Ovis aries: one gene and its partners. The protein of the gene in region 1 interacts with the protein of each later gene in a pairwise test. Links are inferred from orthologs where the notes say so. Each region holds a gene or a part of one and is shown on either strand. Other genes may lie near its edges.

What was found. The genes of interacting proteins can lie anywhere in the genome.
Region 2: the proteins of TSC22D1 (region 1) and APLP1 interact in a two-hybrid assay, tested with the Homo sapiens proteins (2 studies listed by BioGRID and IntAct). The link is inferred for Ovis aries from reciprocal best matches to the Homo sapiens genes TSC22D1 and APLP1.
Region 3: the proteins of TSC22D1 (region 1) and CCDC90B interact in a two-hybrid assay, tested with the Homo sapiens proteins (2 studies listed by BioGRID and IntAct). The link is inferred for Ovis aries from reciprocal best matches to the Homo sapiens genes TSC22D1 and CCDC90B.

Annotation. Positions count from the first base shown.
Region 1 is NC_056063.1:15,190,391-15,194,439, reverse strand, and holds the start of TSC22D1 (TSC22 domain family protein 1), read left to right. Parts: upstream 1-1,249; 5' UTR 1,250-1,512; coding exon 1,513-4,049. UniProt on the Homo sapiens protein: Transcriptional repressor. Acts on the C-type natriuretic peptide (CNP) promoter. Acts to promote CASP3-mediated apoptosis.
Region 2 is NC_056067.1:45,873,412-45,877,427, forward strand, and holds the start of APLP1 (amyloid beta precursor like protein 1), read left to right. Parts: upstream 1-1,216; 5' UTR 1,217-1,325; coding exon 1,326-1,454; intron 1,455-2,292; coding exon 2,293-2,436; intron 2,437-3,251; coding exon 3,252-3,384; intron 3,385-3,612; coding exon 3,613-3,725; intron 3,726-3,957; coding exon 3,958-4,016. UniProt on the Homo sapiens protein: May play a role in postsynaptic function. The C-terminal gamma-secretase processed fragment, ALID1, activates transcription activation through APBB1 (Fe65) binding. Couples to JIP signal transduction through C-terminal binding.
Region 3 is NC_056074.1:11,964,979-11,969,142, forward strand, and holds the start of CCDC90B (coiled-coil domain-containing protein 90B, mitochondrial), read left to right. Parts: upstream 1-1,364; 5' UTR 1,365-1,419; coding exon 1,420-1,501; exon of another isoform or gene 1,502-4,164.

The DNA.
Region 1 (4,049 bases):
AAGACCCGCCGCCGCCGCCTCCTTCTACCGCCAGACCCGGCTTTATGTCTGCGGCGCCGGGGCGCATGCGCAGACGCCATCTTCCCTCCGTCTCCTCAGCCGGCCCCCTCCCGCCGCCGCCGCCGCCGCCGCTGCCACCGCCTCCGCCTCCTCTCGCCCGCGGTCGCCCCTCCTCCTCCTCCTGCGCTCGGGCGCTGGTCCCTCCTCTCCCGATGCCGCGAGAGACCGGGGGATACGGCGGAGCCGGAGAAGAGCACTAGTAACAACCACCACAGCCCCCTCCTCGCCCGCCGCCCTCCCTCGGCACCCACCCACTCACCCGCCCCGTTCGCCGACACCGACCAAACCCCACCTCTCGTTCCTTTGAACGGCGTCGGCTGCAGTCGCTGCACCAGCCCCGTCTGGCCACCAACGCCGCCGAGAGAGGAGTCGCCGTCGCCTGCGGCCCCCTCCCGCCCGGGCCGCGGGAGCAGCGGGGGTGAGAGGACCAACCGGCTGCGGAGGACAAGGACGAAGCGGCTCGCACCACCGCCGGCGCTCCTCAGCGCACGTCCCGCCGCCCTCCGGGGAGGCTCGGGCGCCGGCCCCTTCCTCCCCGAGGACGTGTGCCGAGCTGAGGCGCCTGCCCGGAGGGAGGAAAATGCTCGGGCTCCATGGCTGCCAGTGATGGAGCGGTCCCTGGGCTCCCGCTGCCACCGCCGCCGCCGCGCCCCGGCCGTGCTCCGCGAGGACCCGGCGTCTCTGCGCGCCCGCCCGCGCCCCGTTGCTGGGCTCACCGTACCGGGCGCCCCGCCGCCCGAGCCTCGCCGCGCCGGCCCCAGTCGCGGCCAGCGTTTCCTTACGGAGCAGCAGCAGCCGCCGCGAGCCCAGGGGGTTTGAAAGGGTCCGCGGGGCCGTGGGGGGAGGAGGCCCGAGCCGGGCCGGCGGGGCCGGGAGCGGAGGTTTGAGCGACACTGACTGAGCTCGGGGCTCGCCGCCGGCAGCCGCGGCGGCGCTGGGGGGCGGCGAGGGGAAGGCGACACTCGCTCGGCGCCGCCTTCGTGCAGGGCGACCGGGAGGCTTTTTGCAGCGGCCGCCGCCGACGGGAGGAGGGGCGGAGGTGGCTCCGGAGTTGTCCGGAGAAGGTGGGCATTTCTTGGCTTTTCCCACCCCCCTCCCCTCGCCTCCCCGCTCCCCTCCCCACCCCCTCCCTCCCGCCCCGCACCCCACGTGAAGCAGAGTATAAAGGGGGTGTGAGGCCAGAGGGGAAAGTGGATGGCGAAGGACTGAAGGGGTGCCCCCCTTCGGGTCCCTGGCCGCCCCGTTCACCCTCGTCCATCCTCCCTTCCCGAAGCTCGCCCTCGAAGGCAGGAACGGCCGGCGCCTGCGGCTGAGGAGGAGGAGGAGGTGGGGGAATCGCGCCGGGCGGAGCGTCAGGTCCCGTTTTCCTCCTCGGCGTCTTGAATACAAAGATTACGGTGCAGAAGGAAATTGCACTCGCCTTCTCCGCCCCCCGCCCCGGTACCCAACACAATGCACCAGCCGCCCGAGTCCACGGCGGCCGCGGCCGCTGCAGACATGAGTGCTAGGAAGATGGCGCACCCGGCAATGTTCCCTCGAAGGGGCAGCGGCGGGGGCAGCGCCTCAGCTCTCGGTGCAGCAGGTACCGGCGTCGGTAGTAGTGCCCCATCTGCCGAGGATTTTCCGCCTCCGTCGCTGCTCCAGCCGCTGCCTCCTGCAGCATCTTTGTCGGGACCACAGCCTCCGCCTCCACAAAGCCTGAACCTCCTTTCGCAGGCTCAGCTGCAGGCACAGCCTCTTGCGCCAGGCGGAACGCAGATGAAAAAGAAAAGTGGCTTCCAGATAACGAGCGTGACCCCGGCTCAGATCTCCGCTAGCATCAGCTCGAACAACAGCATCGCAGAGGACACGGAGAGCTACGACGACTTGGATGAGTCTCATACGGAAGATCTGTCGTCTTCCGAGATCCTTGATGTGTCGCTTTCCAGGGCTACGGACTTAGGGGAGCCTGAACGCAGCTCCTCGGAAGAGACTCTCAATAACTTCCAGGAAGCCGAGACACCTGGGGCGGTCTCTCCTAACCAGCCCCACCTTCCTCAGCCTCATTTGCCTCACCTTCCACAACAGAACGTTGTGATCAATGGGAGTGCTCATCCACACCCCCTCCATCACCACCATCCCATTCATGGCCACCACCTGCACCACGGGCACCACCATCCATCCCATGCCGGTGTGGCCAGTACATCCATCCCTGGAGGGCCGCCCTCAAGCCCAGTGTCCAGAAAACTCTCGGCCGCGGGAAGCTCTGACGGTGTTATGCCAGTTGCACCAACTTCTGCTGTATCATCGAGTGGCTCGCCGGCATCTGTCATGACTAGTATCCGTGCTCCGAGTACTACCGGCAGCCTAGGTATAAATTCTGTTACGGGCACCAATACGATGAATAACGTTAACATCACTGCTGTGGGTAGTTTTAATCCTGCTGTGACCAGCAGCATGCTTGGTAACGCTAATATAAGTGTGAGCAGTATCCCCAGTGCTGCTAGTATGAGTGTCGGGCCTGCAGTGAGCAGCGGGGTTAATGTGAATATCTTGAGTGGCATGGGCAATGGTACGATTGCTTCCTCCGCGGCCTTTAACAGCGCTGCCAGTGCAGCAGTGGGCATGACAGTGGGGGCCGTTTCGAGTCAGCAGCAACAGCCAACCGTTAACACGTCCAGGTTCAGAGTCGTGAAGTTAGATTCTACTTCTGAGCCTTTCAGAAAAGGTCGATGGACTTGCACTGAGTTCTATGAAAAAGAAAACGCCGCCGTACCTGCCACCGAAGGGGTGGTGGTAAATAAGGTGGTGGAAAGTGTAAGACAGAACACGACGGAAGCGACTTCCGAGAGGGAGAGCACGAGTGGGAGCTCCGTGAGCAGCAGCGTCAGCACACTGAGTCACTACACGGAGAGTGTGGGCAGCGGAGAGATGGGCACCCTGGCGGCCCCGCCGGTGCAGCCGCAGCCGCCCCCGACCCTTCCAGGGGTGGCCCTTCCGCAGATGGACTTCAGCAGCACCGCTCCACAGGGCATTTCAGCAGTTAGCATCCCGCAGAGTATTTCTCAGTCGCAGATCTCGCAGGTTCAGTTACCATCTCAAGAACTGGGCTATCAGCCGAAGCCAGGTCTTCCACCAGTACCTCTGCAAGCCGGTATTCAGCCGTCACCTGTTGGCGTGGTGGGCGTCACTTCGGCTTTAGGTCAGCAGCCTTCCATCGCCAGCCTGGCTCAACCCCAACTGCCGTATTCCCAGGCCGCCCCCCCAGTGCAAGCTCCCCTGTCAGGGGCGCCACCCCAACAGGTACAATATGGCCAGCCGGCGCCAGCTGTGGCCCCTCCGATGGCCCCAAGCCACGGTACATCAGTAACTCCGAACCCACCCTCCGAGTATGTTCAGCCCTCACCGCTTCTCCAAACAGCGGTATCCTCTGGACAGCCCACTTCTGCAGGGGTGGCCGTGGGAGCCACGGTGATTCCTATGGCTCAGCCACAGAGCATCCAGCTCCCAGTGCAGCCCTCGGCAGTCCAGGCACAACCTGCAGGGGCAGCTGGCCAACCTGTTGGCAAGGCTCACACGACAGTAGCTGCGGTACCACCCGGCAGTCAAATCGCAAATATTGGTCAACAGACAAGCCTACCATCGGCACTGCAGCAGCCCTCCACCCAAGTCACACCTTCAGTTATCCAGCAAGGTGCTCCTCCGTCTTCACAGATAGTGCCACCTGCTCCAGCTGCGATCCTTCATCCGGGAGTTCAGCCCAGCGCTTCAAGCCTTCCTCAGCAACTGGTCATTGCACCCCAGAGTACCCTGTTACCTGTGCCTCCCCAGCCACAGGGGGTCGAGTCGGTAGCTCCAGGAGTGGTTTCGAAGCAGTTGCCTGCAGTTAGTCCTTTGCCCTCTGCTAGTAGTATTTCTGTTACAAATCAGGTTAGTTCAGCTGGTCCTTCTGGACTGCCTTCTGCCCCGACAAACTTGGTTCCGTCACAGAATATAGCACAAGCCCCTGC
Region 2 (4,016 bases), on another chromosome or scaffold:
AAAGTGAATATCTTAGAAATCCCCTGGCATTATTACTGTCAAGAAAGGGGTCCATTGAATCTGCCCCAAGGCCCTTCTTCTTACCCTAGACTACGAAGTGGCTGTAGAAAAAAAACATGAGCCACCCCGCAGCCCTTTACTATCCACTGAGCACTCGTGCTGCAGTCGTGGGGTTGTAAAGAGTCAGACACGACTGAGTGACTGAACTGAAGTGAGCACTCTAAGCTCTTTTAAGATACATCTGGACAAACAAACTTATGCAGATGCATGCACATGACAGGATTGCCCCAGCCTGCTTGGGGAAGACAATTCTACACTGTATTTTGGGAAGAGAAGGAAGTGAACCCTGAAGGGGAGGCAGCAAAGGAGAGGCTAGGGGTGGGAGAAGAGAACTGTCCTGATCCTCAGAGCAAGAATGGGGGTTGACCCTTATCTTGAGGTGATGGGTACCTGACTCAGCTCATCCTTAAAGAATGGGTCTGGGGGCTTTGGTTCATGCATCCTTGATCTAGGAATTAAAGGTTAACTTGACTAGGGCTCCTGGAAAGCAGAGGAGAAGGCCTGGACTTGTTGATCTTAGGGAGAAAGGGCTGAGGGCTTGGTCTCTGGTCCAGAGAGAGAAGGTGCCTGGGACCCAGACTCTTGGATCTGAGGGAGAAGAGGACTGGGTGTCAACTGCTGTGGGTTTTTTTGTTTTTTTTTTTTTTTTTTTTTAATCAAGCCATTTTATTGAAGGGTTTCAGAGGAGGATCGAAAGGCCGGGAGAACAATGAGATCAGACCTCCTTTTCCTGGCCAGAATCTCCCTAGCTTCACAATCATTTAAAGCTCAACTGCTGTGTTCTTGATTGAGGAAATTTTGGAGGCCTAGGACCTCAAGAGGGGACCTCAAGAGGATTTGGGGGTGGGGTCGGGGTTCCTGTGCTGGCGTCCCTGGAAGAGAAGAAAGACGTTTAGTGAGGGTCTGGGTCCGAGGGAGGAGAAAACTGGAGGTGACAGTCTTGGAGAACTCAAAATCCACAACTACGAAGCCTGTGACCCAGACTCCCGGGTAGGCCCTTCCATAGGCGGGACGCCTGGAGTCTCAAGGGGGCGGGGGCCTGGCGCAGGCTCCCACCCGGGGGTTCCAGGCTGCTCAGCTGTGCGCAAAGCTACCACGCTATTGTCCTGGCCGGGAAGGCGGGGCCGGCGCGGGGCGGGGCTGGCGGCGCCGGCGCAGCTCGGGGGCGTCGGCGGAGGCGGCGGCTGTGGCGCTGGGAGCTCCTGTCACCGCTGGGGCCCGGCCGGGCGGGAGTGCTGGAGACGTGAGGGCTCGAGGGCCCGGACATGGGGCCCGCCAGCCCCGCCGCTCGAGGTCTGGGCCCGCTGCTGCGGTTGCTGCCACTGTTGCTGCTGCTTCTGCGCGTGCAGCTCGCCGAAGGGAACCTGGCCGGTGGGAGCCCCAGCGCGGCCGAGGTGAGGCCCGGCCGGGCCCTAGGGGGTGGGGGAAGGGGCGGGACCGCGCCTCTGGACCCCGGGGCGGATAGGTCCGGAGCAGAAGGCGCAGTCTTTTCAGCCAGGTGGCCAGCCCTCAGGCGCCCCTAATAGCACTAGGCATTCAGAAACCCCTAAGTCCAGGCCCCAGCTCGTCCCGAAGTCTAGCCCCTTGAGACACTCTGGACCTAGGTGACTCAGCCCCAGCCCATCTGAATAGGACCCGCCGGGCAGCAAGGCATCTAGAGCCAAGAATCTGGGCCCTTTTTATCCTCGGGACCCATATGAAGGCTCCCGCAAGGCTCCCAGAACCCAGGAGGCTAGACCTCCAGTCACCGCCCCCCCAACCCAGGCTGTAGCTCTCCATCCCCCAAGGACTTAGTGTCCAGGCCTGCAGCGCCCTGAAGCCAGGCCTTGTGGTCTTTCCACTCGAGAATGATGCGAGCGTGAGCTAGGGGCGGAGGGAGGAGGGGCCAGAACGCCTGGGTTCTGGCCTTCTCCCCCGCCATTCAAGTTTAACCCCTTCGAGCTCCAGTGCGGCTGCGCTGGGGTGAGGGCGGGGCTTGTCTCCGCGGCAACAAGGCCGTGAGAATCCCGGGAGACCCCGAGTCGCCATAGCAACGGCAGAGCTGGGGCGGCCCCAGGCCCAGTGGGAGCTGTTTCCCAGGGAACCAAACCTCCACAGAGGCGGGTGCGCGACGCTTGATGGAGGGGGCTGGTGCTGAGGATGTGACCATCTGGGTCCTAGGGAGCAAAGGACCGGGGGACTCACATGTCAGCGTCCCCCGTGCCCTCGCTGATCCCTCCGCCCCACCCCCAGGCCCCAGGGTCTGCGCAGGTGGCTGGACTATGCGGGCGACCAACCCTTCACCGGGACCTGCGCACCGGCCGCTGGGAACCAGACCCTCAGCTCTCACGACGCTGTCTTCGGGACCCGCAGCGCGTGCTGGAGTACTGCAGACAGGTAGGCGGGACCGACTGAGAGGGGCGTGGCCAGCAAAAAAGCGGGTCCAAGCTGGGACCCGGTTGCCCTTAAGAAGCTAGCCGTGCAAAGGCAAGGTCCGGGGAAATGAGGGGTTCAAGAAGGCATGGGAAACTAGGGGACATGGCCAACAAAGAGGCAAAGTTAGGATAGGACTTACCTGTTTTTGAGAAACTAGGTCAAGAAAAGAGAAGAACCATGCAAACACGGCCAGCTGAGGACAGTGTCCAAGTGATGAGATGGAATTTAACAATGTGGTGGACACTTTAAAGAGCAGGTGTAGGTGGGCGTGGCAATTAAGAGGCGGGGCTAAGACAAAAAGACCTCGTGGACTCGAGTGACTCGGAAAGGGATGGAACCCAATGGGAGAGTGGAAAGCTAGGAGGTGTGGCTATGAAAAAGCAAGTCTAATACAAAAAGAAAGGATCCTGAGAGGCCAGAGGCGAGGCTTAAAGAAGGGTGGAATCTATGGGGAGATGAACTTGATTGGGGGAACGGGCAGAAGCGACTAGAAAAGAGATGGGCTTAGAAGGACAGCTTTGGGGTAATGGAGGGACCTTCATAAAGAAACCCGACAGGCAAAGGGGTGCAGCCTAAGGATGGAAGGGAGAGGTACTAAGGGGCGTGCCCAGTGACGGGTGGGGCTTAGATATCTAAGTCCTGTTCTACTGAGAAGCAGGGCCTAGGGAAGAGTGGTTCTTTCGAATACTAGAGCCTTGAAAAGGGACACGCCGTCGCAGGAGCGCACCTGGTAGGGGAGGGACAGAGGGCTAATCGCCCCGACTCGGTGCCCCCAGATGTACCCGGAGCTGCAGATTGCCCGTGTGGAGCAGGCGACGCAGGCCATCCCCATGGAACAATGGTGCGGGGGTGCCCGGGGTGGCCACTGTGCCCACCCCCACCACCAAGTTGTGCCTTTCCACTGCCTGCGTGAGTCACAGGCTGGCGGGTTGGGGAACGGAAGGTGGGGGGTTGGGTGGTAGTCCCCAGGGGGTGAGAGTCTGGCCCTGGTCTCAGGCTCACATTAGGGGGCTAGGTGCCTGAGTCCACAGTGGGACAGAAGCCTCTGAGGATAAAAGATCTGGATTCTGGGGTGGGGGGAGTTGGTAGGGCTGGTGGCTATGGGAGTGTCTCACACCGATGCTGCCCATTTTCTAGCTGGCGAATTCGTGAGCGAGGCCCTGCTGGTGCCTGAAGGCTGCCGGTTCTTGCACCAGGAGCGCATGGACCAGTGCGAGAGTTCAGCCCGGAGGCAGCAGGAAGCACAGGAAGTAAGGACCCAGCCCCTCATCCTCCCACCCCTCCCGAGAACCCAGGATTCCAATCCCCTAACACCCTCCTCCTCCACAACCCGAGTCTGAGCCTCAGCCCCCTCTTCCCAGTGGGACAGAACCAGGAATCCAGGCTCCAAGCCCCATCAGGTCCTCAGACTCAGGCATCCAGGCTCCCCCTCCACCCTTCCTTACTCCCCAGTCCTGGTATCTATGCCCGCTCTGCTCACAGGCCTGCAGCTCCCAGGGCCTCATCCTGCATGGCTCAGGCATGCTTTTGCCCTGTGGCGC
Region 3 (4,164 bases), on another chromosome or scaffold:
TGCCAGTAGCTTGAGTGACAGTATCTAATGGTTTATTTGGTAGAATTGATCATTATTTTTTAGAAAATCTTTAACAGGTAATAATGGTATGTCCTTCTGTTCTATTTTATTTTTTTAAACTGTGAGATTAAACTCTTTTTGAGGAGGGGTTGTTCTTTGTTTTTCAATTTTTAAATAATCACTTATATTTCCTCTCCATACACTGTTAAAGCCCTGTCAGGAATTATGTTTTCTTTTTTCCCGCCTACTTTAAACTGTTTATTTTGCATTGGGGTATAGCCGGTTAACAATGTCGTCGTAGTTTCAGTTGTACAGCGAAGGGACTCCTGTTCTTTTAATGTGTCTCAGTGCTTAGAACGGTGCTTGTCATGCGGCTGACACAAAGCTCTGAAAACAAATCTGATGACTGAGTGGTAACTTTACATTCTTGTAAGAATAATTAAGCCGCTAAAACCTGACGACTGTTTACCGCTTTGTTGTTGTGTTAGTCGCTCAGTGTGTCCGTCCAACTCTTCGCGACCCCATGGGCCGTAGCCCACCAGGCTCCTCTGTCCGTGGGATTCTCCAGGCAAGAGTACTGGAGTGGGTTGCCATGCCCTCCTCCAGGGGATCTTCCCCACCCAGGGACTGAACCCAGATCTCCCGCATTGCGGGCAGATTCTTCACCGTTTAAGCTAACAGAGAAGAATTTACAAAGAATACATCCCCGCATCTGAACCCCACAACTACTGCGTGCTGCTGTTTTCAACATTTTACCATGTGGGGAAAACTCTGGAGTAACTGAGGTCTGAGCGAGATAAAATGGTGATATATAAATCAGGTCGTCCCAAGAAACGAGAGAATTCAATTTCCCTTCTTCCCGTACACTAGAGGGCGAAGCGGCAAGCTTTGCAGCAGCAAGAAATTAGAAACGAGAGCCTCGGGGGGACTACACTTCCCAGAAGCGCTCTGCGCAACTCCCGGCATGCTCAGCGGCCAAGGCCTGCACGTCCCAGGTTGCCGCGGGGTTGGACGTTACTCTGTCGTTCCCTAACCCAAAGAAGTGATGGCCGCTGGCTCTCTGGCGGGAGACGGCCGTTTAGCTGTACATCTCATTGCCAGGGAACGGGCGTCGGAAGGTTCTCAAACAAGATTCCACTTCTTAGGGCGGTAACGGCGTGCACTGGTTGGGGTGGGGCGGTGAGAGAAGCGGAGCCGCTGTAAACCATGCTGGTGAGCTACGGGTCCGTCTGTGGAGAGGCCCAACTTCGCGAGACTGCGCGCGGTGCGAGCCTGTGCTGGGAAGCGCGTTGGAGGTGTTACGGGCCGAAAACTACATTTCCCGGCATCCTCTTGGCGCCAGAACTACGTTGCCCGAAAGGCTGAGCGGGATTCGCCCCGTCTTCTCACCCGGCTGCCTCCGGCTGGAAAACCCGTGAAATGTGGGGCCGCTGGGTTCGGCCGCTCCTGTATTCTGAGGTTTTGAGCCCCTGTGGGCGTTTTTCGCCGACCCTGCGGAGAGGTGAGGAGAGGCACCGTGTCGCCCGATGCCTTTGTTCGCTGTGGGGAGGTGGTGCCGGCTTGGGCGAGAGGAAGGCGAGGGTGCCGCCGCCTCCCTCCAGCCCGCTCCGGGGCCTGGCAACCCTGCTGCCGAGCCTCGCCCCGAGGGGTTGAGGCGGGAGGCGCGAGGGCCGAGAACGGGAGCGCGAGCCTCCGAAGGCCTGTCTTCCCGCCTGGCTCTTTCGCTCGAGCCCCGCCAGGTGTCCCTCTGAACCCTTCTCTGTCAAGGGAGGCTGGTCGTCCCCGCCCCCTCGCAGGCGTGTAGTTTGTGCCCGGAGAGGGCCGTCACCTTTCGCGGTTTGTTCAAACTTAGACTGTGTTACTCGGGTGCCTACCTCGAGCCCAGGTCATTTGGTAATCTACAGCGCCCGTTTCACTTCAGGTCCGCTCTATTTTCGCTGTAGTTTTCGGTTCGGTTCAGTTCAGTCGCTCAGTCGTGTCCGACTCTCTGCGACCCCATGAATCGCAGCACGCCATGCCTCCCTGTCCATCACCAACTCCCGGAGATCACTCAGACTCACGTCCATCGAGTCAAGTGATGCCATCCAGCCATCTCATCCTCTGTCGTCCCCTTCTCCTCTTGCCCCCAATCCCTCCCAGCATCAGAGTCTTTTCCAATGAGTCAACTCTTCGCATGAGGTGGCCAAAGTACTGGAGATTCAGCTTTAGCATCATTCCTTCCAAGGAACACCCAGGGCTGATGTCCTCTAGAATGGACTGGTTGGATCTCCTTGCAGTCCAAGGGACTCTCAGGAGTCTTCTCCAACACCACAGTTCAAAAGCATCAATTCTTCGGCGCTCAGCTTTCTTCACAGTCCAACTCTGACATCCATACATGACCACTGGAAAAACCATATTTTTCGGTACTCGGGAGCAAACTCCAAAAGACGGTGAAGGACAGGGAAGCCTGGCATGCTGCAGCCTGTAGGGTCGCAATGAGTCGGACTCGACTGAGCGACTGAACAACAAACGCTTTATTTACGCTGTGGTTTTCAGTACTTGGCAATCGCCTTTCAAGAAAAAGGAACGTGATCACGGGAAGCTACAGTGGTTGACGGGCAGGTGCGCCTGTCACCAGTGTGTGCTGGACAACTGAATTTATTGAGAGTCGTTTCCAGAATCTTTTCCCCACAATTTTTAAACCCTTTGGGGTTGTCTGCAGAGTAGTTACTTCGTACTAACCTCAACGTTCTCTATTCACCTTAAATCTTAAGTGCAGGGGAACTGAGATGTCCAGCACCACAACTTTGAGCTGTTTTGCTCGTTTCATTTTAGTCACACAGCAAGACTGCAGTTATTGACCGCCTCCCCGCGCCGCCCCCCCCCATCTCTAAGACTGCTGTTTAGTGCCCAGGGTCCTTGGCACGGTATTTGTACTTAGGATGAGCTGGTTGGATGGCATCACTGACACAATGGACATAAGTCTGAGCAAGCTGCAGAGATGGTGAAGGACAGGGAAGTCTGGCCTGCTGCAGTCCACTGGGCTGCAAAAAGTCGGACAGGACTGAGCGACTGAACAAAGGTATTAGGTTTGTGTGTGTATTTAGTCGCTCAGTCATGTCTAACTCTTTTGAGACCCCATGGAGTTTAGCATACATACACATTATGATGTACAAAACGGATGTTTTTTGAACCCTGGGAAATCACCCCAGTCTCAATTTTTTGTAAACTTTCAGAGCTAATATAATTTGGGTCCCTCATTACTAAACAAATATTTATTGAATGTTTACTATGTTCAAGTAGTTTAAGCTTGCCTCAAGTCAGTATTCAAGGAATTTGAAAACCTTGACCTCTGACTCAGGGAAGGATCTTAGTTTTCATCTAATTGAATTACTGTTTAAAAGATAAAATAAGGCACAGGAAGATGTTGTGGAAGTTTTGTGACCACTGGTGCTGGTTTCCTAGTTCATTACTATTTCTCTTACTTAGCAAAACATCAAAAACACTGAGCTTCTAAAAACAGATTTTTTGGTTGTCCCTGAGAAGTCAGTCACATAGATCTTGTGTTGGTTTATTATTTAATATATTAATCCTGATTGTCTTGATGGAACTAGAAAAGCATATGTCAACAGACCAGCATGTAAAAATATATATTAATGATCAGCTATGTTACTGAAGTGTTGCAACTCTAAAGTTAGTAATATTTTTTAATTTTTAAATTTAATTCAAGTATAGTTGATTTACAAGGTTGTGTTAGTTTCCAGTGTGGTGTTATATATATACACATCTATACTATATGTTCTTTTTCAGATTCTTTACCATTATACTTTATTTCTGTTTTGAAAATTCTTATTGAAACCTAGTTGATTTGATTTTATACATAGCAATTTGTATCTGCTGCCAAACCCTTAATTTATCCCTTCTCACACTCATTCCCCTTAAGTTTCTATTCCATGTCTGTGAGCCTGTTTCTGTTTTGTAAGCACGTTTGTCTGTATCATTTATTAGATGCTGCATGTGGGTGATAGCATATGATAGTTGTCTTTCTCTGGCTTACTTCATTTAGTATGATAGTCTCTAGGTCCATCCACGTTGCTGCAGATGGCATTATTTCACACTTTTTTATGGCTGAGTAATATTCCGTTTTGTATATAATCTCTCTTTTTTTGTTTAAAAATTCTTTTT